Ovis aries: one gene and its partners. The protein of the gene in region 2 interacts with the protein of the main gene of each other region in a biochemical or structural test. Links are inferred from orthologs where the notes say so. Each region holds a gene or a part of one and is shown on either strand. Other genes may lie near its edges.

Region 1 (3,500 bases), on a different chromosome or scaffold from region 2:
TTCAGTTTACTCTGTTCTCTCTGGAATTCTTTCATCCTATGTTGGGCCTCCAGGATTAATCCTCAAATTATCCCACCTTGGTTACTTTCCTCCATCCATTTTCCATCTTCCAAAGTTTGATGAGATTGTTTTATCTTGTCCTCCATTATTTTTTTCCCTTTTTCTTTATCCATGTTGCTTTATTTTGTTTAACCCCTTCACTATTATTTTAGTAGAGTATGAGGAGCAAGCAGAGAAAATAAAAGCAGGCTTAGCAACTGGTACCCCATCTGCAATATTTACATTGTTTTTCTTCTTCCATTTCCCCTGCAGTTTTCATTGTGAAACATTCAAATAATCAGAAAAGACAGAAGAACAGTACAATGGATACCCATATACTTTCTAAAATGGGTGAATGATGCGACTCTTCTGTAATGAATTTTCGAGATTACTGAATTAGAGTTTTTCCAACTTGATGATAATCTGAGACTTCAGGGCTTAGAAGACTGTACCACAGTCTCTGCCCTGCTATCCCCAAAGCCTCTATGTAGGGGTTGTGGAAGACTCCACGGCCCTGCTGTTTTACATCCTAGGAGTCAGTGGCTGTGACCTCCAGCCAGGTACAGCCCTGGGCTCATGCTCTTGCTCAGCTGGCTCTCACAGCACTTATCAAAAAAAGGTCTCAGTCGCTGACTCACTGTACAGACTGCCCTCTGAGAGGTATTAGTGGTTATATCCCTCCTGGGCCCCTGCTGTTGGAACTAATGTTCCCTTCTAAGCAGTTAGTAGACTGAGTTATCCTGTTAGTTCCTCAAAAGAAAGGAAAATACCTGTAACTCCAAAGACAGAGTTTAATCCATCCCTCGAATGGCTCTCTTGAATAGCTACTCAAACACACATTCCACTGAAACTTGTTTTGTAGGGTTCCAGACTCCTCCCAAGTTAGCAGAAAGCACTCCCGCCACTCTGAAAGACCTGAGAGCCTTAATTCTTACTGCCGAAGACCTCAGAACACTTCTAAAATTATTCCCTTGTGTCCTGAGTGGAGAATCCAGGTCCAGTTCTGAAACACTTCACAAGCTCAGATGGGTCTCAGGATGGAAAGCAAGTGTGACAGTCTCCTGGGAAGCCTTCAGAACACATCGACCCTCATGCCCTACCCAAAATCCACTTAACCAATCAAGGGACCTGGAACTCCTCACTGTTTTACAGTCTCCTGCCTGAATGTAGATGTGGTTTTGTGACTTCCCAAGTTATCTTGTTCATTCTTTCAAAAGAAAACTTTTCTCTTCAGGATAATCAGTTTTAAGAGTTTCCATACACCAAAATATATACCCTCCCATAAAAAAACAAAAACAAAAAATAAAAATCAACCTTTCATTGGTGATTCTGATGTTCAGTGCACTTGAGAACCACTGTCCATTTACTATCTTCCGAAGAAAAATTTTCCATGGCCTCTAAGTAACAACCCATTAGTTGGGATTACTTAAAATCCTACTATGTCTTCACTATGTCTTAAGTGAGTGGCAGAGTTTAGGAATAACCTATCTCCCAATTATTTCATCTCTACTCCACTGTTACCCTCCTTAGAAAGCATTAAATATACTAATTATTTTTCCTCACTTGCTCAAAAGTCTTTAACTCCAATGCAGAAATTGTGTGAGATCTATTTCATGTAGCAGTGATGCCAAGATGTCACTGCTACTTCAAAGCTGCTTCAATGTGAGCAGAAATGGTCTCAGGTTGGAAGCAATGGCAGTCATGCTCTGTGAGCCACAGGGCGGGTGGTGGGTGAGCTTGGACACCCTCCTACAGCATTCTTTCAGACACTGGACACCACTTTTGGACAGACCAGGTAACACTTCCTGCCACTGCAGTCACAAAGATGGCATCATGGATCCATCATAAGTCACCTTCATCAGCTGATTCTTATGGCCACAACACAGCAAGTGCTGTTTGAAGTTTTATTTTTAGCCTTGGGCCAAGTCACTCTATGAAGGTGCACAGCTCACCCACCCAGACACCCACCCTGGGCCTGCACCCTGGGAATCCAGCAGCAGACACGAGAACCTTCCTCCCTCACTCCTTTCCCTCTGACAGTGGCACAAGCCCAGTTCTTAGGAAGCACCAGGAAAGGTTGGGGGTTGCAGAAAAGGGAAGAAAAGCAATATGGCATCTCAGCTAACTACTCACTGAAGTCCTCAAAGAAACCCCAAGGCTCAAGTAAGGAGAAATACAGAGTGGTCTTCCAAAGGAAGAAGATGAAGGGCAGCCTTAAACTGAGCCTGGTTACCCTCCCTAGTGGGATTACCCAACCAAATGCTGGCTGATTCTTGGCTGATTCCACTTCACTCTGTGTGGAAAGCTAAAGAATTTGTCAGGGAGTTCAACCTCAAGCGGCCTGTGGTGCAGCACTTGGTCAAGACTGATTGATATGAGGCCAGCGAATCCTTACTGGTCTCAAAGACACATCAGCTGCCCCTCCTCTGCAGTATCCCAGCTGAAAGCCACAGAACAGCCGCCTGTACACTGGTTACCAAACGCTCTGCTGATGTCAAAGGAGGGGCACTTACCCAGAGGGCTGAGGGCAGCCGCCACACTCTCCCCTACATTCTTGAGGAAATTCACACTGGGATCTTCTGATGGACCAGAGGCTTTGGTTTCAAAAAACAAAAGATACTTTTAATTCAAAGCATCTCTCTCAATGACTGAAACCTGTCACAGTCCTGTCTGTCCCAGAAGCCCTACTCCCGGGGCCTGTTCCCAGCAGCCTATACCCTATTGCTTCCCTCTCTCCCCCTCTCTAGGCCACCTCCTAGGCCCCTTTGTCTTTCACACCACTCCCCCTTCATCTACCTTCCTGGTGCCTAGAAACTCTGTACACAGAGTATAATGTATTATTTACCCCTCCCCCGGAAAAAGCATTATTTACTCAAACAAATACCCTCATCTTTGTCACTAAGGACAAGGTGAGTCAAAGGACATAGTAATACTAATAAAATCAGAATAAAACTAGAATCTAAAAGTTCAGAATGCAAGCTATGTGTAAATTTTTAACTTGGGAACTGTTTTACAAGACTTGAGCAAACCTGGCTGTGACTTTCCTAACAATTAGCATGAACAAGAAGAGAGCCGACTGGAGACGCAGGCGCTGGAGGGGCCTCCCACCTGCATGGGAGGGCCACCGGGGCAGGTGCATTAGTGGCCTTGAGCACCGAGGCACTAGTTTTCCCAGATGTACAATGGAGATGATGCTTGCACTTTGCAGGATTTTATGAGGATTAAATGCACAAACGGCCACAAAGTGCCTAGGCCAGCCACAGGCATGCAGGATTTTAGGGCACAGGGAAAGCCCTCCAGCTCTGCAGGCCCTCACATCTCATCCTTCAGAGGCCAGCAGATACAACCCTCACCTGATTCCGTGGCAGGGCCAGGGTGGGCCTCCCCTGCCTGAGGAGGACGTGGGCTCCAGTTCCCCGGTGGGCCCATCTCCCAGCCAGGCCACCCAAAGTGCCCATGTT
Region 2 (4,290 bases):
CTCCAGGGGATCTTCCTGACCCAGAGATTGAACCCATGTCTCCTACATTGGTAGGTGGATTTTTAACCAGGGAATCCTACCTAGCTTCCTAGGCAGGAGAAAAGGCAAAAATAAATAAATAAATAAATAAATAAATAAGTTTTAATGGAGAAGTTTTAAGTAGTGAAAGTGAAAGTCTCTCATTTGTGTCTAACTCTTTGTGACCCCATGGACTATACAGTCCATGGAATTCTCTAGGCCAGAATACTGGAGTGGGTAGCTGTTTCTTCTCCAGGGTATCTTCCCAACCCAGGGATCAAACACAGATCTCTCGCATTGCAGGTGAGTTCTTTACCAGCTGAGCCACAAGGGAAGCCCATACAGAAGCAAAATAAACTACTTTTCTTTGTGTCTCTCCACAAACCTAGAGAATGTTTGGTTTTCTCTATGTCATCATTATTAGGCTGAAGACTTCAATGTCCGATGTCCTGCATGGAACAGAACCAGGGATGACCCATGAAAGTCATGGTACCTTCAGAGACCATGGAAGAAGTCCAAATGGTCCTATTTATTCTTAGGACATACCTGAATAAGATGGCAGGACCACTGTGCTCCTGGATGTAAGGTAAGGAGGTGATCAGCATCAAATGAGAAAGCTGAATCACTAGAACCATAATTAATGCATAAAAGAAGCACAATCAGGTGAAACACCCTGATCTGAGAATAAGGAGACCAGTGAATCAGCTTCTATGGATCTCAGTTTTATCATCTTAAATGCAAGATCCTGAGAATAACAACCAGTGTTCTACACACATTCCTAGACCTGTAAAAATATGAACAAAATATGTTGGAAATACTACTTTGCTACACAGCTGGATTTTAACACTGGTTTTACATATTTTTATCTGGACAAATTGTTCAACCTTTTGGGAATACCTATTAGTATTTCTTACTGTGAAAAATAGCAATATATTTCAGGATAAGGTGAATCACTATTCAATTTGCTTCATTACTGTAGTATTACAATGTCCTCACATGAAACTGTTTCTATCCATAACTTCTTAGCTTAGGCTCATAGGACCATTTATAGGGAGGACCAGTGCTTTTTGTTTTAGTCACTGTCATGTCGGACTCTTTGCCACCCCATGGCTCCTCTGTTTATGGAATCTTCCAGGCAAGAATACTGGTGCGAGTTGCCATTTCCTTCTCCAGGGGATATTCCTGATCCAGGGATCGAACCTGCATCTCCTGCAATCTCAGGCAGATTTTTACCTCTGGGCCACTAGGGAAGCCTCGATGATCAATGAATGACAATATAAAATTTAATTTGTTTAGCAAAAACAAAATTTTTAAATAGTAGTGAGTGAAGTAACTTTCTTGAACCAGCAACCAGGTGCCTGTTTCATTTCCTTTCTCAGCACTGACCTCCTCCTGCCCGGGGAGAAGGGAGGATTGGAGAAGGGTGATGTCACACAGCCCTACATAAAAGCCTCCTTTGGGCTCCTGCCGGCAGTTTGGAAGCAGCTGGAAGGATGAATTAGGTCCTGGTGGTGAGATTTTTTTTTTTTCCAGGCAGACACAGACACAACTGTTGAGCAAAATGCAGACTCCACAGAAAAGCCCAAGCCTCAGACCTTTCAAGCAGAGGAAGAGCTTAGGTAAAGCTCTCAGAATAGCTGTCTGGGTTTCGGCCCTTGAGACAGCAAGAGAAGGTACAGACTTCTGTATATGCCGATGTGCTCATTTTATCTTAAATGTTCACAGCAACCAGAAGAGAGGAAGTTGCTGGAATCAGAGTGAAGTTCCCTGGCAAGATCCCGGTAAGACTCCATTGTCCTGGGGAGTGGGAGTGAGGGTGAGGGCAGGGATTAGGGGGAGGGGGCTGTGAGAGCCTATTCAAAACACCAAAACCAGCCAGTGACCTCCTTCTTTCTAGTCCAAGTTCCTCAGACATAGAAAAGTGAGGTGTATCCTTTGACATTTGCTTCAGAGGAGATTCAGGTTGAAACCCTTGACAGGTGATAGTGGAGCGCTACCCCAGGGAGAAGTTCCTGCCCCGGCTGGACAAGACCAAGTTCCTGGTCCCACAGGAATTGACCATGACCCAGTTCCTCAGCGTCATTCGGTAGGTAGCTAAGAGCCTGGGGGGTGGGGGGGGGTGTTGTGTGGGCTTGGGCTTTTGGGACAATGAGAGATGGGAGGTGGCAGAGAAGGAGAATGATTTGTGCTCCCCCTTTCTCTTCAATATGCCTTTTGTGTGTGTGTGTGCGTGTGTGTGTGCATGTGTGTGCGTGTGTGTGTGTGTGTGTGTGTGTGTGTGTGTGTGTGGCTGTCCTGCATCTCCATTGCTGTGTGGGGGTTTTTCTCTAGTTGTGGCTGGCTGAGGCTACTCTAGTTCTGCTGCACGGGCTTCTCACTGTAGCGCTTCCCTTGTTGCAAAGCATGACGCTAGGGCGCGTGGGCTTCAGTAGTTGCATCACGTGGGCTCAGCAATTGTGGCTCCCAGGCTCTAGAGCACAGGCTCAGTGCCTGTGGTGCAGGGGCTGAGCTGCTCTGCGACATGTGGGATCTTCCCAGGCCAGGAATCGAAGAACCCGTGTCTCCTGCATTGGCAGGCGGACTCTTGGACTCTTTACCACTGAGCCACCAGGGGGGCCCCAACTACGCCTTTAAAAAGGATGATCTCATGAGTAACCAGTTTTAAAATGATGTCAAATATTTTGCTACCGCCCTAAAATAAATGAGCACTCCCAATATTGATGTATCAGCTATTTTTCCCTTTGTCCTACATTTTACTGGTACTGTGTTTTAATTTCTGCCTTCAAATTTCTCTAAGAATTTTTCAAAGGAACCTTTAGAAACTGGTCCAAAACCCTGTTTTCAGCTATTTTAAAAGCCCAGTGACAGCATTGTACCTCTAAATATTTTCCCTCTTGTGGCTGGGAGGGAATTTGGGGTAGGAAAATGCACTGTCCACCTGCTGAATCACTGAGCAGGAGAACCACACCTTCCCCCACATCCTTCTTTCTTCCATTCAGAGCAAGGGAAGGCGTAGAGTAAAACCAGTGTTGCTGACTTTGAAACTTAAGGGATTGAGGTGGTCATCTGCCAGCTGGACTCAATAAAAAGTGATATGAAACCAAAAATAGCTGACTAAGGGTTCCGTAAACATGGCTGGTGTGTGAGTCTCCCTGTGCTGGAAACAACCTCTCAAAAGTTTTGGCTGATGCAGACAGTTTCATCTGAGAACTTATTATGATGCTTTTTAAAATGAGCTCTTTCAGAAGGCCCTGCATTCTTCTCAGACCTACTTAAGGGTTAGGTTAATCCATGGAAATTGGGGCAACTCAAGGAGAACCACAGTCGGATGTAGACCCCTCCTTCTGTCAGCCAACAGGCTGCTGGGGCACAGCGTGGCTTCACCAAGAAGTGAATTTTGACACAACTTCCTCCTTTTTTCCATACAGGTACACCTCCAGTTATCATACGCTTCATCCTTCATCCTAATAATTTTGAATCTTTGTATGTATGTTAGTCACTCAGTCGTGTCCAACTCTTTGCAACCCCCGGGTCTGTGACTCACCAGGCTCCTCTGTCCATGGGATTTCCCAGACAAGAATATTGGAGTGGGTTGCCATTTCCTTCTCCAGAGTATCTCCTCGACCCAGGAGAACCTGATCTCCTGCATTGCAAGCAGATTCTTTACCATCTGAGCCACCAGGGAAGCCCTTGAATCTTTACATTAAGTCATAATGGGTGCTTAATATCAATATGTTTAGATGACTTGACTCTTAACCTTGTCATTAAGCACACTGATATTAAGCACCCATTATGTATCATGCACTGTGCTGGGAGCTGCACAAAGAGCAATGAAAAATACAGACCAAAAGTCCTATGCTAAACAAGATTTAAACTAAAGTTTCCACTCTTGGAGACTCCTCACCCTTAATAAAATGAGACCCTCGTGGAAGAAGAAAGGAGATGAAGGTGCAATGTGGAAATATAGGAGCCCCATCTTCAGATCTACACTTTCCATGTAGAACAGGCATTTGCTCACCACACGAGAGCAGTGCAATGGTCAGGGTCTGGTCTTTGGATTATCCAGTGTTAGTTAACCAGATTCTGAAATTACTTCCTCTCCCACCCACCACATAAATTTAGCTCCTCCTAGCTAAGAGTAGCGGAGAAGGCAATGGCACCCCACTCCAGTACTCTTGCCTGGAAAATCCCATGGATGGAGGAGCCTGGTAGGCCGCAGTCCATAGGGTTACAAAGAGTCGGACATGACTGAGCGACTTCTTTCACTTTTCA
Region 3 (4,114 bases), on a different chromosome or scaffold from region 2:
ATTCCTATCCAATCAGTTTTTTAGTGTAGAAATTAAAATTCAAGTTGAAACACTTGTGGCACAAGACAATGTAAGATTTAATCATAGAAGACTACTGATTACAATTAACTTATATTGTCAAACATAAACATACCAAACAAATCCACACTGGACTTTTAGAACAGTAAATTATTAAACAGGTTGATTTCTTTTAAAGATGTTTAAATTCTGTGATATTATATTAGTATTTCAAACAATACCCTTTCTAAGCCAAACTTGAAATTAATCAACTTTTTTTTTTTCCTTCCAGCAAAGAGAAAGGGTATCTCTTTAAGATACTTTCCAAAGCAGTAAAAATACCTTAGTGTTTCAATTTATCTGTAACACACTCTGCTGTGCATTTCACTGAGGGGCTACCTGAACCCACAAATCATCATCAGATAAAGAGCTTGAGCTCCCTGATTCAGAATCCAACTCACTGAACCCACCTAAATCCCACTCAGTGCTGGATTCACTAGGTACTTCTTCCTCCTCAGTGAGAAAACTCTGACCGGGTTCAAGACAGGAAGGATAAACGCGAGCTGAGAGGCAAAAAAAGTTAGAATCGAACTGGAACAGGCCTAATGTGGTACCTATATTAATCCACTGGTCACCCCTAACATCGTATTCATACACGGTCACCCGGTTCTTCTTCCACTGCGGGGTGCGGGAGGTGATCAGCAACAGTTTTTGGCCATGATTGATAATCCGGTAGTTGTTAGTCTCCGACACCAAGGGGATGTTATTAATCTGCCTCCACTCTCCTCTGACTGGATTGTACACCTTCATGACAGGGATGTCGCAGATGCAATAGATCTCATCGTTGAAGACACAGGCTTCCTGAAAATCATTGCGCTTCAGAGAAACACACTTCAGCCACATATTGTGGCTGGGATCAAAGCAGAACATGCGCTTACTGTTGAGAGCGTACAGATAGTTCTGAATGACCATCAGGTCAAAGGAAATAAAGGAATGGGGCAGCGGAGCCACCAGCGCCCACTGGTTTCTCTGGACACTGTAGCACTCCACCTCCTTCAGTTTAATGCCGGTAATGGGGTCCCGACCACCCAGGATGTAGATGTAGCCATTGAGGTATGCCACGTCCATGCCCTCCCGGCAGAGCAGGCGGTCAGCAAGCTGCTGCCAACTATTCTGGGCTGGTTTATACACCCAGAGATCCTTCCTGGGCTGGGCGGCCAGATAGATGTCATGGTCTGGAGAGACACAGACAGCTAAGGTGGTCACAGTCCTAGTGTGAGCAAGGCAGGTCAGAGGTGATGGCACTTTGTAAATGTCCCCCGAGTATGGGTCACAGCACAGAAAGGGATCTCTGGGATGGCCAAAGAAGATCACCATCTTCTTGGCATACACACCTAGCCTCTGAGGTGGATGATCAGCCATGGGCACAACGGAGCTGCTGCTTCCGCCGCCAAGAACAACGTTAACGACGCTGCTGCTGCCACCGCCACCACCACCTCCACCACCACCACCACCACAAGCAACGCAGCTAACAACGCCACTGCCACTGCTGCCACCACTGCTCTCTGGCTTGGGCACCAGAGACTTGCACAATGTGTCACCATACCGCATCTGCCGGGCCCCTTCAATGAGGTCCAGACAGTACTTCTTCACCACGGTGTTGGTCAGCAGCTCTTCCAGGTAGCCCCGATCTTCGTCAGTGAAGTGGGTCCAGCGGACACACTTGAAGACTTCTGCAGCGCTGGGACCCCGCTCCTTGGGAGCCGCCTCCAACCACTGCACCGCCACATGACACACGGTCTGCTCGTGCTCGATGTTGAGACTGTCCAGGCGCAGGACGGTCAGCAGCTGGGCCAGGGTCAGATCTGCCAGGGACTCTTCGCGAATTGGACTCATCTGGCTGAGATGCTTGAAGTTGTGGGCTATAAAGGACTGGGCCTGTGATCGCAGCTTGCGATGGCCGAAGGCATCAGCAAACTTGAAGATGGCTGTGCAGTTGGCCAGGTCAAGGCGGCGGGCTAGGAAGGAGGCACAGGCTTCCCGCACGTACTCCAGCTGCAGCATGTCGGAGGCTGCATAAAGGCGCTCCACGTTCGATTCACTCAGGGACACGCGACCGGTGTAGCAGTAATCGACCAGGACCTCGAAGGACTCGGCGTCCACGTCGTGCATGGTCACGTTCGTCTGATGGCTCTCGTACATGCCGCCGGTGAACATGCTCTTGAAGTAGGGACACGCGGCCGCCAGCACGTTTCGGTTGCAGGGGAAGAGGCGGCCCGTGCCGGGCCCGCTGCCGGGGGTGACCACCTCGATGGTCACATCGCAGAGAAGCCGCGCATCGTAGAAGGACTTGAGCTGGGCCAGCAGAGCTGCAGAATGGCCCGTGTCCTTCAGCTCCTCCGGGCCAGTGAAAAAAGCCGAAACCGTGGGTTTGTGAACCCTTTTGGGGCGCTTCCCGCCGCGGGGACTGGCGAGGCGGCGAGAGCGCGAAGCTTCTTCCCGGGACTGCATGATGGAGAGAGCGGCGGAGAGCGAAAGATGAGAACGGGTGCAAGGACCAGGTTCTGGCGCCTCCTCACCCTCTTCTCGCTGACGCTAAGACCGCGGTGTCTCCGGAGAGACTGCAGCACTGGTCCATTTATTTAAGTCAGCCCTCTGCCGCGGTGCCGCCTCCCTCGATCGCGTAGACCGCGTCCCACTCACCGGGTTCCAGTTCCACGCCCTTTCTCCGCCTCAGCTCGCCCTCAGAGGACCTACTGGCTGGAAGCGAGCGATCCGCCACCTCCGCGCCGGCACCACCACTAGGCATCCAGGAGAACTACGGCTCCCAGATTGCCTTTCGCGCCTCGAGGCATGCCGGGACCCCGCGGACTCTGCGGCACAGGCTGCGGCACCTGCTGCGGCACAGGTTGCGGCACGGAAACCGCTTTGCATATCGGGAGTAGTAGTAGCTTCAATAGCATCGCGAGATTTGTTGCCCGTTCATTGTTTCGGACGACGGAGTTCGAAATGGTTAATTCTATTCCGTTCGGCTTTATGGTTTCGAACTTTGGGTTTGGAATTCAGACTAAATGCCAGTTGTTGTATTTATCAGTTGTCTGGCTTCTGTCAGAGCTGCCGCTTGTTTTTTAAAAACGTTAATGGCAGTGGTACTTCATAGCATTGTATGACGATCGAACTAAATTGCGTAGATGATACACGCATAAATCGCGTAGGTGATATACGCATTAAATCGCGTAGGTTGGCTCTCCTTGCTTTAAATAAATATTTGTTGATTAGCAGAGTAATGTACTTATACGCAGTACCCATGATATAAAGGCTTAATGAGTTTTAGCTTTTCTTCTAGCGTTCATGAAGAATGAAGCACCCTCTCATTTGAGACCATGAGCCTGTGGGGAAATTTGAAAAACCCTACAGGTTTCTGCAGAGATACCTTTTAAGTTTTTTTGTTTTTGCATTTAACAAATAGATTTTTAAGACCAGTCTTAGGTTTACTAGAAAATCCAATAGAAAGCTGCAGAAAGCTCTCATATACTCCACCCCCTCTCAGTTTCACCTGTTTACAACATCTTGCATTAGTGTATGCCCTTGTTAAAAAGTTATGAACTTACAGTTATCTATCATTAATTAAAACATGTAGTTTATATTAGGATTTACTCTGTGTTGTACAGGCATGTCATGTATCTATATAACATGTATGTCGTGTACATGTATGTATGATGTACATGTATGTCATAAATGTATGTCATGTACCTATCATGACAATAATACACAGAACAGTTTCACAATCTTAAAAAATCCTCTGTTCAACCTATTTATGCCTCCCTCTCCTTGCCTCCCAGCCCTTCAGAACCATTAATTTTCTTATTGTCTGGTTCTACCTTTTCCAGAATATCATGCAGTTGGAATATACATTCTTTCACTTGGCAATATTCAATTCAGATTAATAAAGCTTTCTATTGAATTTTCTAATAAACTTTAAAATCTGATTTTAAAATCTATTTATTAAAAAAAAAAAACCCAAAGCTTAAACCTGCAGGGTTTTTCAAATGTCTTTTCATGGCTTGATAGTTATTTCTTTTCATTGAATAATATTTCATTGTATACCAGTTTACTT
Region 4 (4,251 bases), on a different chromosome or scaffold from region 2:
ATTTTAGAAGGCACCCTTAACTGGTAGCTAAAGAAAAACAGGGTGGAACAAAATTCCTGTGGTTAAGGGTATATACAAATGCAAATACCATTTATTTTTCCTCTGCTTTAAACATTCAGTATAATAGTTTTTATCAATGATCAAATAAATATATGTATTTCAAAGAAATATTTTCTCTATGTTCACCTATAAGAAAAGTTTCACATTTAAGTAGACTTTTTACTGTTTAATACTTTAAGTGGCTTTCTATATTTTACTTTTTTTCATAATGCTTAAAGAGGGCTTAAAAGGGCTTTTTTTTCAAAATGCTTAATGCTTAAAGCATTTATAATGCTTTAAAATAAATACTAAATGAGCATTTTTGAAAATAAGAATGAAATACGGAGTTAGACTTTAAAACACCATGCCACTCAAGGGGAAAATATACTAAGGGAAAATATACTAAGGCAAAATATTATTAAAAAATTATTATTTAAAGCCTGTTCTTATGCTACAGAATGTTTTATGGCTTAAATCACTTTGGAAAGGTTTTTTTTTAATGCATATCTTGTATGCTGATAAAATAATAAATAGAGTAAAAAACTATTAGGCACTTTTCAGATTCACAAATATCAAATTCATGACTACAAAGTACTTGCTAGCTAAGGACCAAGAAAATATATAAAGCAGCCAAGTTATAATAAATTTTACCAAATATTTCACAGAGCTATTCTAGTATAAACTAACATTTTCCAAAACCAAAGGAAACTTACCTTATAAGAATGCTTTAAAGAATTAGGTAGTTCATTTGTGAAATCTCTGTTGCTGTCTCTGGTTAAATTATCAACTTTACCTTCATTTCCAGATGCAAACTTTATGAGTAATTGAGATGGTCCCCCCTTAGAACAATTGTGCTTAAGGCTAGATAAACAGGAAACATTTGGATAAGTTCCCCCCAATGAAATACTTCTCTGTAAAAGAGCATGGTTTTTGTTTATCTGTAAATTTGGTCTTTCCAACTGTCCACTGATATTTATTTGATAATCTACATTTTGGGAGGATGGTAAACATGCAGATGTCCTATGCATAAGCTTAATAAACTCTGGATCAGAATTAAGCTCAGTTTCTGACATCTCTGGTTTACAATCACCATTTGCTGCTTCACAATCTAATGCAGTTGCTTTCTGTTGGGTAAAATGCAGTGAAACACAAGAATATCCTTCAGATGGCTGTTCACAGACAGTCTGATTTGGACTAGTATTTGCAATAATGATTTTCTTTTGTAATGAGCCCTTCCTGTGAAGAGGTCGTATGTCTCTTACTTCTCCGGGAGTACAGACTGTCTTGGATAACCGAAGTCCATTGACAGCTGTTGAAAGAAATCCCTTAGCACTAGTGCCATCTTCACTGTGGGCAATTTCACTAGGAGAAATAATAAACTGGTGTGAGGTCTGATAGGATCCTTTGCTTGGAAGAGTACCTGTACTTGTTGGAGAAGTTGGTGGTGTATTTGAAGGACTCCTAGGAAAAATGACTAAGGATGAACAACGTTTTAGTGGAATTTTCGAGTTCCTGCTCACTGGCAATTTCATAATCTCTAGTCCATGATCCAAGTCATCCTGGACAAAGGGAACTGTACTTGTACTTGAGAAAATTTCACATGGAGCAGTATTCCTGTTTGGCACACTTCTATTGGAGGCGCTGTCAGAAGATAAATTTCCACCAAAAAAGGTATCATCAGTTGGTGGAAAAGTATAACCACTGCTGTCACTGATGCTACTGTTGGTGTATGAACCTCCACTGGTGATACTTGTGCAGGACCCATAATCACTACCATTGCTGCTGTAAGACCCATTTTCACTGGCTGAAAAGTTACCAAGACTACCACTGCAAATGGCAGGACTGCTTAAGAGGTTACCATCATCCGTGGCATTCAGTTCGTTATCAACCACAGCACTGCCATCCTTTAAGACACAAGTAAATGAAGCATCATCACCATCAGCTAAGACATTGCCAGACTGAAGACATCCACTGTACCTTGTTGGTTGTAATGATATCTGCAGACAGCTGCTCTTTTTATGAACATTTTCAGGTGAAGGAAAAGATGATCTTTCCCGAGACTTAAGGTTTTCCTTTATTAACGGAGCTAATGCAGTCTGTTTGGGAGTCAGCTTCATTTGAACCACGTTCGCCGTTGAAATCCGTGCTGGTCTCGTGAAGCACATGTGAATGCTGCTATCCAAATCATCTCCGGAGGTTTCTGACAAAGGATAAGTATTGCTTCTTCTGGCTGCAAAGTGCAATCGTAAGCTTTGTGCCATTTGTTCTCATTTCCAAACATGTTAAGGGCTGAGAGTCATAACAAAGATCTCTGTCGGTAGACAGGCTAGAAGCAGCTGCACTGCAGCAAAAGAAAAAATCATTTGTGTGCCTGAAAGAGCTCAGAAGTAGTAGTCTTTATCCTAAGCAAAATCTTAAAGACCAGATAGCATATGAAAGAAAAAGACGGCCCATTCCTGAGACTGACGTTTCCAAAATGTCTTGAATCGCTTGTAGTCAAAATGCCTTCACTTACAAAGCACTTGATTTCCAGCGACCTTTAAGCTGAGCTCAGCTGCAGCACACTGCCTCAAACACTGCCAACCTTGTTTCAATTATACCTTCTCCAATTTGCATGAATGAGTAACACAAGAACAACAATCTTCTAGCATTTCAAGTTGAAACAGTATTTTTTTCACTCCAGCTCTACTAAATGAACATTTAACTCTGTGAATCACGGTGCCTATACTTTCTCCAGCAGAGTTTGACCACTAATATTTTTACCCATAGGGATAGAATTACAGGAAGTTGGTAGGAACGAAACTCCATGTAATTGAGTATCAAATCAAGGATTGCATTTCCAAATAGTGGCCATACTAGGAATCCAGTCAACTTAGTAAATGTAGAAAGGAATATAGACTGTTAATATTTTTAAAAGGAGAAAGTTCAAATGTTTGTATATATTTGGAAACACCAAAACTGCGGGGGTGAATTGAAAGTTTAGCATTAAACCAAACATAAATATTTTAGTTTCCAAAACACTACGTACTTATAAAAAGTGAAAGCTGAAGGATCGAAATACAAAATTTGCCTAGTAATACCATTGCAAAAATTGAGCATAGGTCTGAGAAAAAAAACGTTTGTGAGAAGCTGTCACCAAGCATTTTCTCCTGTAATTTTAAGGCCTTTCCAGCCAAGCAGTACAGTCTTTAAATGATTCCATTTATATTTTGACTATTAAAACTCTGCCAAGAAATAGCCTAAGCAAACATTCCATTAAAAATATATGCAGATTAGACAGAAAAACTATACCCTAATATAGTTTGAGCACACAAGATATTTTATTCCACTGTCTATGCAATTCATTCACTTAAGAGAGTGTTGTGGTAAGTAAAGAAGTCTAAAAAGGATTTAACACATCAAATAAACATATCTCAATGCCAACTCTATTCTGAAAAACTCTAAGAGCTCTTTGCTGGCCCCTACTGGTGCATTGAAACAATTCATTTAGTTGTTTGATATCTATAAAGAAGTATAAACCGTATGGCATATTTCTTTATATAGACAAAGTACATACTTGTTTACATTTTTGAGTACTAGCACTGACCTAAAGATGGAATTACTTACTACTGCTGATAAAGCTCCCGCAGGAGAGAACAGTAAACTGTTTGTCCTTTTAGACGTTGTGATTTTGTATATATATACATTTTTTTCTGCTTTGTATTTATTTAACCTTTACTTTATTTTCAGTTTACTAGGTAATAAAAGTTTAATATTTTAATTTCTCCCCTAAATGTCATAGACCAAGGTTGGTATTCTATTTGAAAGAAACACATTTATTTTAAAATAATACTCTAGGGTATATTTAAACTTCTTACCTGAATTTTACAGCTGGAACTCCAGTAATAAATATATACTGGCTCATTCATAGGAAAGTAAAAAGTAAAATAGTTCAGTTGTTTACACCACATGGTACTACACCCAAGTTGTACTTTCCTAAGTAAGCTTTTTTTCCTAAGTAAAAGCAAATATGTAAAACATATACTTGCACTTTGTTTAAAAAAGAAAACTTAGGATATATCTGTTCTCAATCATAATTTTCTAAACAGCATTTTTAATCAATTAAGACAGGACAAAACAGAAATATGGAATTTACTAGATTCTATTTCTGACTAGAATGAGATACTACTATGTTTTAGAATGTGTACAGTTGTAAACTTAGTAATAAAATTG
Region 5 (3,500 bases), on a different chromosome or scaffold from region 2:
ACAGCCTCTTCTTCAGCAACTTGGACAATCTCCTCCCTCTCGTCTGCAAGTGGTCCCTCTTCAGGTAAGGCAAATTTCACTAAAGGGTGAAAGCATCCAATTTTAAGGTACAAGCTAAGAACAGTCCCTCGTACTTTCCCTACCCTATACCAAGCCTTGTGGGTCATGAGCTATAATTATGAAAGCCAGAGGAGAGGGACAAACCAAAGGGCCATATTCAAAGTCTGAAGCTGAAAAGAACCAAAGTTCATAAAAACAAGGTCAGCAGAAACAATAAAGCTTCTGAGAACACTATGACCCTTAAAACAAGGAGGCCCTTTTCCTTTTCCCTTTCAGGTGACAGCTAACATAACTGTCAGAGCAACCCCAAGGACTATACAATTCATGGACTTCTCCAGGCCAGAATACTAGAGTGGGTAGCCTTTCCCTTATTCCAGGGGATCTTCCCAACCTAAGGACTGAACCCAGGTCTCCCACATTGCAAGTGGATTCTTTACCAGTTGAGCCACAAGGGAAGACCAAGCATATTGGAGTGGGTAGTCTATCCCTTCTCCAGTGGATTTTCCCGACCCAGGAATCAAACTGGGGGTCTCCTGCATTGCAGACAGATTCTTTACCAACTGAGCTATCAGAGAAGCCCCTATCATATTGGGATGGTTTCAAATCGAAACTGCTAAAGTAGCTAACAGTGCTATGAGAAGAGAAAACATCTGGTGCTAAGTACTGCAGGACTATATGACTACTTTTGACTCCTTTCCTCCTCCTCTTTGCAAAGTAATGAGTAGTCATGACAGAAAAACTGGCAAAACATGGATGAGTTGAGAAAAAAATAACAACAAACCACCGGTAATCTTACTGAGACAACTACTGTGAACATTTTGGTGTAAGTTCTTCTAGACTTGGTTTAGACTTTTTTTGTTATCCATTTGTACTCAAGTGTGTGTGTGGAAATACATATATATTTTTTAAATACATAGTTTTAAAATTTGAGTGTTTGAATAGTATCTGAAATACATGAAATTGGTTCTACCTATCTGACCTCTAGAAATTCTGCCACAAAGAAATTTATGACAGCAGAATTTAACCCTAAGAAGTTTTAGCTTGGTGCTCCTGTTTTGCCCACTATTTCCTGACTGCTGCCCTTGGAGAAATGAGACAACTCAGCTGCTGGGGGTGGGGGTGGGGGTGGGAGGGCGGGGGAGGGTTCTCTGCTGAGGGGCTCCGTCCACTTACAAGACGACTTCTTACTGCAGAACCCAGGCAGCACAGTTGGCTGCTGTTCCTCTGTGGCATACAGCTGTAATTCAGCCCCTGGGAAAGTGCAGAAATGAATTACGGGAGCTGCTTTGCTCCTGATGCACATGTAGAGTCTAAACGAACAACCATGATCCAACCTCTAACAAAGATTCCCGTCTCCACTCTGAGTAAAGAAGAGCACTTCTACCTGCTCAGGTCTGGCAATCTCAAGTCAGGCGTCACCCCAGTGGGGGCGTGGGGTGAGGTCCGGGAATTTCAGGGACACTCACTATGCGGGGACTTCTGTCTCCAAGGTGGTTTGTGATCCGGGGCGGCATCCAATGTAAGGGATCGGATGACAGTCTCACACACGAACTGGGTCCCACTCAAATCATCTTCTGGTTCCTCCACGGAAGAAACATTCTCAGCCTTTTTCTTTACTGACACTGTGGAATCTGGAAAGGACAATTTTTGTCTGCACTTGGTGTTTAAAGTATTGCAGAGCTTTCTCCAGTCATGTCCCCATGCTGATATGATGCCAAGGAATAGCTGCTGTCTGTGCTATGTGAAGGTAAGGAGACTTCAAAAAATCAGATCGTTGGAAAACCCGTTCACACACCAAGGTAAGGTTAGTAGAAGGTATGGATAACAACAGGGCGTGGTATGGAAGGGGAGGATGCAAATGCTTTACAAATATTTAACCCCTTACCAGGAAGTGCTTTAAATCCCGCCCCTTCACTCTCTTCCTGTATCTGCCCCAAGCCTGGCTTCTCTATTAAAGGACTGTCATGTGGCAGAGGAGACATGCAGGGAGTCATATCTGGAGAATGAAGATAGGAGAACCATCAACCAAGAAAAAGCATTGCATCATCAATACTCAGTGTCCAGAAGCAGCACCTTCTAGGTTTCCTGCCTCCTGCAGAACTAAAATAAACCCAGGTACGCTTCAAGGCCTGTTGTAAAGAATTTCTCCAGACCATCAAGTACACAAGTATCTCAGACAGGTCCATCAACACAGGAAGGATCATAAACAGTTGTTTGGCTTTGGAAGACCATGGCCAAGACACAGAACCATGAATGTAAAGTAACAAAGGGACACAAACGCCTAGAGAGAAACGGAGAAGAGGGTCCCTTTATGGTGGAGAAACTCTGTACAAACTTGTTGCCTCTGACGGACAATAGGGAAATGGAAAATGGGCCCATGGGTGCAGTTTTAATATCACATTGTGGGAGAAATCCTTGCCTACTAATATCTCCGAATGACATAGTCACTACCAGAGTCAGGGGGGCAGTACTATTGGGCCTGTTAATAAACAAGGTGGACCAAATGACATTCTTACCCACAGGAGTGTTGTGGGGCACTCTCTCCAACTCTTGGACAATATTTATATCCAATAGCTCAAAGGACAGCAGATCCTGAAAAAAAAAAAAAGGGGGGGAGGGCATGTTAGGCTACTTGCAACACATGCTAGAGCCGTGTTTTGTGTTAAAGGCCACTGAGCTCCACATCGTCCTAGATGCAACTCATGTTCAAATTCATGCCTCATCTCAGTCAAGTGAGAACAAGAAGAGTTAATGGGAACCAAACATTCAAATAGCCACTGGGAAGAGAGAGAGCAGATGCAGTGGGGGTGAAGGTGAACCAGTTAGGCAGAAAGAAGAGGCAGTGAAGGGGAAGTTGTGGGAAGCACAAGATAAATTTCCAATTCAAAGAGGAAACATTTAGTTTAGAAACTTGCTTCCATTGGGGATGTTCTTGCCATTTGACGCATCTCACTAGATTAGAGTGGGTCTATCTCTAACTTCCTGGGCACCACCGATGGCTCTACCCGCTTTCCTTCAACAAGTTAAGAACTTGTTCCCCAGGGCTTTCTGTCCCTTCCCCTCAAAATGCTCAATCTTCCACCTGGGCAGTCAGAAGATCCACGGATGGGATGTAGAGCTCCCTCTTGCTGGCAGCACTCTTTGCCTTCTGTGGGATGTGGGTTCCTGTCCCTTCTGTCTGCTCAGTTGTTTCACCAGGCAGAATTTCTTCTTTACCCAGAAAAGCTTCCTATGGAGAGAAACCATTGGGACACATTTTCGGCCCTCAACAGAACTCAAAAAGCAAGTTGACGGCTGCCTCCCTAAAGTCAAATGCACTGTATGTAGTAAAACTTCTTGTTTTAATTTCACACTTTTCTATGAAAAAGCTGCAAAAAGAGTACAGAGAGTTTACTAATTACTCCCTTCATCTAGCTTCCCCTAATGACAGTAACTTAGAT
Region 6 (4,174 bases), on a different chromosome or scaffold from region 2:
GCCACACTGAATGTAGTGCATGAGAGCTCTCACTGCAGTTAATAATTTTCTTTTTAATTAGACATGATCCATAAGCATCCCGAGGACCAGGGGCTGGCTGGGGGAAAACAACCAATAATCATGAGAACTAGAGAGGGAAGCGTTGGCAGTTAGCAGTACTTCAAAAGGTTGCTTCAAGATGTTTGGAAGGGTATCCTTGGGAAATCCAAAGAAACGAGTCAAATCAGATAGGGTCAAAAGCAGTGAAGGCGAGTGAGGAGCGGCAGCTTCGGGCCACTGGAAAAGAATGTGTCCCAGGCCAGCCGAGATTGGCTCTGGGTCCAGACTAGGCCTCAGCCTCTCGCCCTTCCACTCCGGGTTTCTTTCCTCCCGACTCCTGCACCAGGGCCGGCCCTGTCCTGCGCCCCGGCCCCAGCGCCCGGCCCCGCCCACCGCACTGGGCCGCCGCCGGCCCCGCCCACCCATCCCTGGCCCGTGGCCGGCTCCGCCCACCCTTCCCCGGCCGGCCCCGCCTACCCTTCCCCGGCCAGGGCCGGCGGCCGAGGGGCGGGGCGGGCCGGGAGGAGCCCCGCTCGGCCCGCGGGCGGGGGATCCGCCGCGGAGTTACGGGAAAGTTGGTCCGAGTTCCTGGAGTTTCCTGCTGTGGCTCTCCTGGCTCGGCCGGCTGGTGCCCCGGCACTCTGCCCGCCTCTCGCCTTCGCCGCCCACCTGGTCCCTCCTTCTGACCCTGGCCGCCATGGAGCAGCCGCCAGCGCCCAAGAGGTAAACGAACGCGGGGCGCGAGGAGCAGCAGGGAGGCGGCGCCGCCGGCCGCGGGGCGGGGGCGGCTAGGCCGGGCGGGACCGCGATCCCCTTCCCGCGGCTGCGGGGCCCCCAGCCGGGCGCGCCGGGGGTCGCAAGGCGGGTCCTAGCGCCGGGCCGCGCCTGTCGGTGGGTGAGGCGGGGCAGGAGGGGAGGCCAAGCCTCGAGTGCCCCCGGCCCGCCGGGCCTGGCGCGCGCGGGGAGAGTCGGTGGGCAGCGCTGGGCGCCCCGCGGCCGGACTCCGGGGGCGGGCGGGGTTCTCCCTCGTGTCAGGTTCAGCATCTGGGAGACGTAAAACTAGGAAATTATTGGGCTTCGTACAACCATCAAGGCTTTCTTGTCAAATATTTTCCAGAATGTTGCCCACCCCCCACCTTTTTTTTTTTTTTGAGAAAGCGGGTTATTTATTTACAGTTCAAGGAATTAAATATTAATAGCTAGACAGTGTGTAAAACTTAACTGTGCAAATGCTGCACTAACAGGTGTTCCTCGCCCCTTACTCTGCAAGTTCAAAATTATTTATGGATGCCGGACAGTAGTAGTCTTAAATTAGAACCCCTCCCCCATATGTGTGTGTGTGTGTGTGTGTGTGTGTGTGTGTGTGTGTGTGTATGTATAGGTTTGTTTTTCTTTTAGCATGTAAAAATAGTGATGCTTTGGTATTTACTGTTCGTTAATATTCTCTGGTATATTGGAAAAGTAGCAGTTGAAATGGTCTTGAAAAGCTAAATCAAGGCTGTCCATTGATACAAATTTGTAATGTGTATTTCCCCCCATAAGAGTGAATCAGTTGATTGATGTTGGATAAAGCATTTCAATTTGTAAAATAAGGGTACCAATCTTTCTCGCAGATAGTGCTGTTGTGAAGAGTGAATAGAGTTTTGATAGCTAGAGATCTTTAGATGAAAGGCGATATATTCAAGAATATGGAATAATTGCAAAGGTAGGAACTTCATGAGCTATTGTGAATTGTGTGACAAGACATGTGAGCCTTGAAGCCTGGGAACCATCTGTTCAGGTGAAAAAGGGGGGTTGTTGGGGAGTTTCCGAAAGAGACCTGCTGTTGGAGCCCTTGATAAATTCTTCTCTGGCATTTTAAAATATCCCAATTCTGAATATTGATTTGGCACTCAGTTTTAATACTGTAACAACTGGAACCAGTTTTCCCCCCATTTTGTTTTGGAAGGACTGTAAAGGGTACCTCTGAGATCCTACAGTAAGGCCAAGTTGAATGACTCTGAATTGAAGGAGAAACTCTATTGATGAGCTCTACGCCAAGTTATGAGAATTTCACTGTAGATTTAAGAGCGAATTAGAGAACCTGGAGGGGTTGGGGGAGGGGTGGTGGTGTGTACCACCATCCGTTGATGACTTACACTTTTCAAAGTGGTGGGTTGCACGTTTAAGAGACGTATTTTTAGCTCTCTTCAGAGAGACATGTTCATCCAGGAAGGCATTTCTAAAGCACAAAAGATATGTGACAAATCCCATATGTTTGAATATCTCTTAGATTTTTTTCATAGCGTTTTCTTTTCCATCCTATTGTTTATAATCCTTAAAGCAACCCCATTGAGTAGGTTGGATTATACACGTTAATCCTGTTTTATGAGATGAGGACACTAAAGAGGGTTCACCACATGGAGGGCTATGACAGAGATAACTGACAGTGAATTTTTGTGTTGTGCCTCTTAATGATTGCCCTCTAATAATGAAATGAAGCTACCATTTTTTTTGCGATCTTAACTATTTGCCAAGAATTTTGTATATACATTCTTTTACTTCGTTGTCTCAAGGAATAGGAATCCTGGCTCTGCCACGTACTGTGCTAGTTCTGAATTTAATTTCTTCATCTGTAAAATGTGTTTGGAGTAAATGAGGTCGTATGTAGAGCACTTACAGTACAGTGCTTCATAATATGTTCAATAATGTTAATTGTCTATATTTTCCTCATTAAATGAAACTTGAAAGTGAAGTCGCTCAGTTGTGTCCAACTCTTTGCAACCCTATGGACTGTAGCCTACTAGGGTCCTCTGTCCATGGGATTTTCCAGGCAATAGTACTGGAGTGGATTGCCATTTCCTTCTCCAGGGGATCTTCCCGACCCAGGGATCGAACCCGGGTCTCCCACATTCCAGGCAGACACTTTACCATCTGAGCCACCAGGGCAAGGTTAAATAACTTGGTCGGGTGGAGGAGCTGCCAGTGGAACGCTTAGCACAGTGCTTTATAATATGTTCAGTAATGTTGAGCTGCAAGGGTTGTGTCCCCACTCATTGTGTCTCCAGTGATGCCTCTTTTTGCAACCAAAACTCTGCTTGCTGTCTTAGCATTCCACAAGCATCTCTTTCGATAATCTTGTCCCCTTTGCTTGTTCTCCTTTTAATCTCTGTAAGAATTCCACTTCGCTTTTCTGCTGTGAGTAGCTCTTCCTTAGGGCTCAGACATTATTACATGGTCACAAATGTGTTGCTGTTGATCGAGTCTATATGACCAGTAGCTGCTTCGTAGCATTTTTGGTTTCTTCATGTGGATCCATTTCTTTCCTTATCTTATTTAGTTTGTCACTACATCATATAAAATTTTCCATCAGAAAGTCTGTGTCTACCCCCTTTCATTTCCAGTATTACTACCCCATTCCATGGTTTTAAGACCCTTAAGAGTTGATTTATAGCAGTGCCTTCCGGTTGGGCACAGTAGTTCAGTGCTTATCAAAATATTTTAACAGCAGAAGAGCTGTCTTTGGAGTAGAGGCAGAGCCGTAGGACTTGGTTCTCAACGCCTCACCTCCCTCTGTTCCCCTTTTGGTTTCGTGTGGAATCCTCTGCTGATCTATATTACACTGCGTTAGTTCATCCTGCACGCAGCTTCTGTTCTGATTTTTTTTTTTTTTTCTTAAACATCACTTTAGTCATACTCCTCCTTATTTTGCAGGCGGGGGGAGATTGGGGCATACTCGCTGACTGGTACCCAAGAGCTCCATAGCTTGGTCTCAGCCTTAACCCCCAGCCTTGTTACTTCTGCAAGCTGAATCTTTCCTTCTAAAGTCTCCCTATTGTTCTTTGTTTAGGTTATAGGCTGTGGGTACTCCCAGGTTTGCCTTTGTTCATGATTTTCCCTTAGAAAAGTTTGTGTTATTTATTATTATTATTTTTTTACTAGTAATCTATGTTTTATTCAAAGCCTGCTTCATAAAGTATCTTATTTGAGTGCTTTCTAGCCTAAACTGTTTCTCTTTATTCCTATAATGATAATCATTTGAGTATCAATCTTAAGATTGTTCTTTTTTTTAATTACAAAGTTTTAGACATCCAAAAGATAATGGGGATGAATTTAGTAAATACTTACATATCACCACTCAGCTTTAGAAATAAAA

Evidence for each region.
Region 1: the proteins of MAP1LC3C (region 2) and SQSTM1 form a complex in vitro, tested with the Homo sapiens proteins (6 studies listed by BioGRID and IntAct, with this or other methods). The link is inferred for Ovis aries from reciprocal best matches to the Homo sapiens genes MAP1LC3C and SQSTM1.
Region 3: the proteins of MAP1LC3C (region 2) and KBTBD6 form a complex in vitro, tested with the Homo sapiens proteins (2 studies listed by BioGRID and IntAct, with this or other methods). The link is inferred for Ovis aries from reciprocal best matches to the Homo sapiens genes MAP1LC3C and KBTBD6.
Region 4: the proteins of MAP1LC3C (region 2) and NEDD4 form a complex in vitro, tested with the Homo sapiens proteins (2 studies listed by BioGRID and IntAct). The link is inferred for Ovis aries from reciprocal best matches to the Homo sapiens genes MAP1LC3C and NEDD4.
Region 5: the proteins of MAP1LC3C (region 2) and NBR1 form a complex in vitro, tested with the Homo sapiens proteins (2 studies listed by IntAct). The link is inferred for Ovis aries from reciprocal best matches to the Homo sapiens genes MAP1LC3C and NBR1.
Region 6: the proteins of MAP1LC3C (region 2) and STK3 form a complex in vitro, tested with the Homo sapiens proteins (2 studies listed by BioGRID and IntAct). The link is inferred for Ovis aries from reciprocal best matches to the Homo sapiens genes MAP1LC3C and STK3.

The regions. Positions count from the first base shown.
Region 1 is NC_056058.1:1,199,702-1,203,201, forward strand, and holds part of SQSTM1 (sequestosome-1), read right to left. Parts: coding exon 3,393-3,500; intron 2,634-3,392; coding exon 2,553-2,633; intron 1-2,552. UniProt on the Homo sapiens protein: Molecular adapter required for selective macroautophagy (aggrephagy) by acting as a bridge between polyubiquitinated proteins and autophagosomes.
Region 2 is NC_056065.1:34,213,969-34,218,258, reverse strand, and holds the start of MAP1LC3C (microtubule-associated proteins 1A/1B light chain 3C), read left to right. Parts: upstream 1-1,490; 5' UTR 1,491-1,579; coding exon 1,580-1,637; intron 1,638-1,743; coding exon 1,744-1,799; intron 1,800-1,997; coding exon 1,998-2,104; intron 2,105-4,290.
Region 3 is NC_056063.1:11,708,823-11,712,936, forward strand, and holds the start of KBTBD6 (kelch repeat and BTB domain-containing protein 6), read right to left. Parts: upstream 2,801-4,114; 5' UTR 2,509-2,800; coding exon 382-2,508; 3' UTR 1-381. UniProt on the Homo sapiens protein: As part of the CUL3(KBTBD6/7) E3 ubiquitin ligase complex functions as a substrate adapter for the RAC1 guanine exchange factor (GEF) TIAM1, mediating its 'Lys-48' ubiquitination and proteasomal degradation.
Region 4 is NC_056060.1:52,607,608-52,611,858, reverse strand, and holds the start of NEDD4 (E3 ubiquitin-protein ligase NEDD4), read right to left. Parts: upstream 2,801-4,251; 5' UTR 2,301-2,800; coding exon 753-2,300; intron 1-752. UniProt on the Homo sapiens protein: E3 ubiquitin-protein ligase which accepts ubiquitin from an E2 ubiquitin-conjugating enzyme in the form of a thioester and then directly transfers the ubiquitin to targeted substrates. Specifically ubiquitinates 'Lys-63' in target proteins.
Region 5 is NC_056064.1:42,917,185-42,920,684, reverse strand, and holds part of NBR1 (next to BRCA1 gene 1 protein), read right to left. Parts: intron 3,290-3,500; coding exon 3,143-3,289; intron 2,653-3,142; coding exon 2,577-2,652; intron 2,057-2,576; coding exon 1,946-2,056; intron 1,692-1,945; coding exon 1,527-1,691; intron 1,312-1,526; coding exon 1,234-1,311; intron 80-1,233; coding exon 1-79. UniProt on the Homo sapiens protein: Ubiquitin-binding autophagy adapter that participates in different processes including host defense or intracellular homeostasis.
Region 6 is NC_056062.1:78,383,212-78,387,385, forward strand, and holds the start of STK3 (serine/threonine-protein kinase 3), read left to right. Parts: upstream 1-1,374; 5' UTR 1,375-4,174. UniProt on the Homo sapiens protein: Stress-activated, pro-apoptotic kinase which, following caspase-cleavage, enters the nucleus and induces chromatin condensation followed by internucleosomal DNA fragmentation.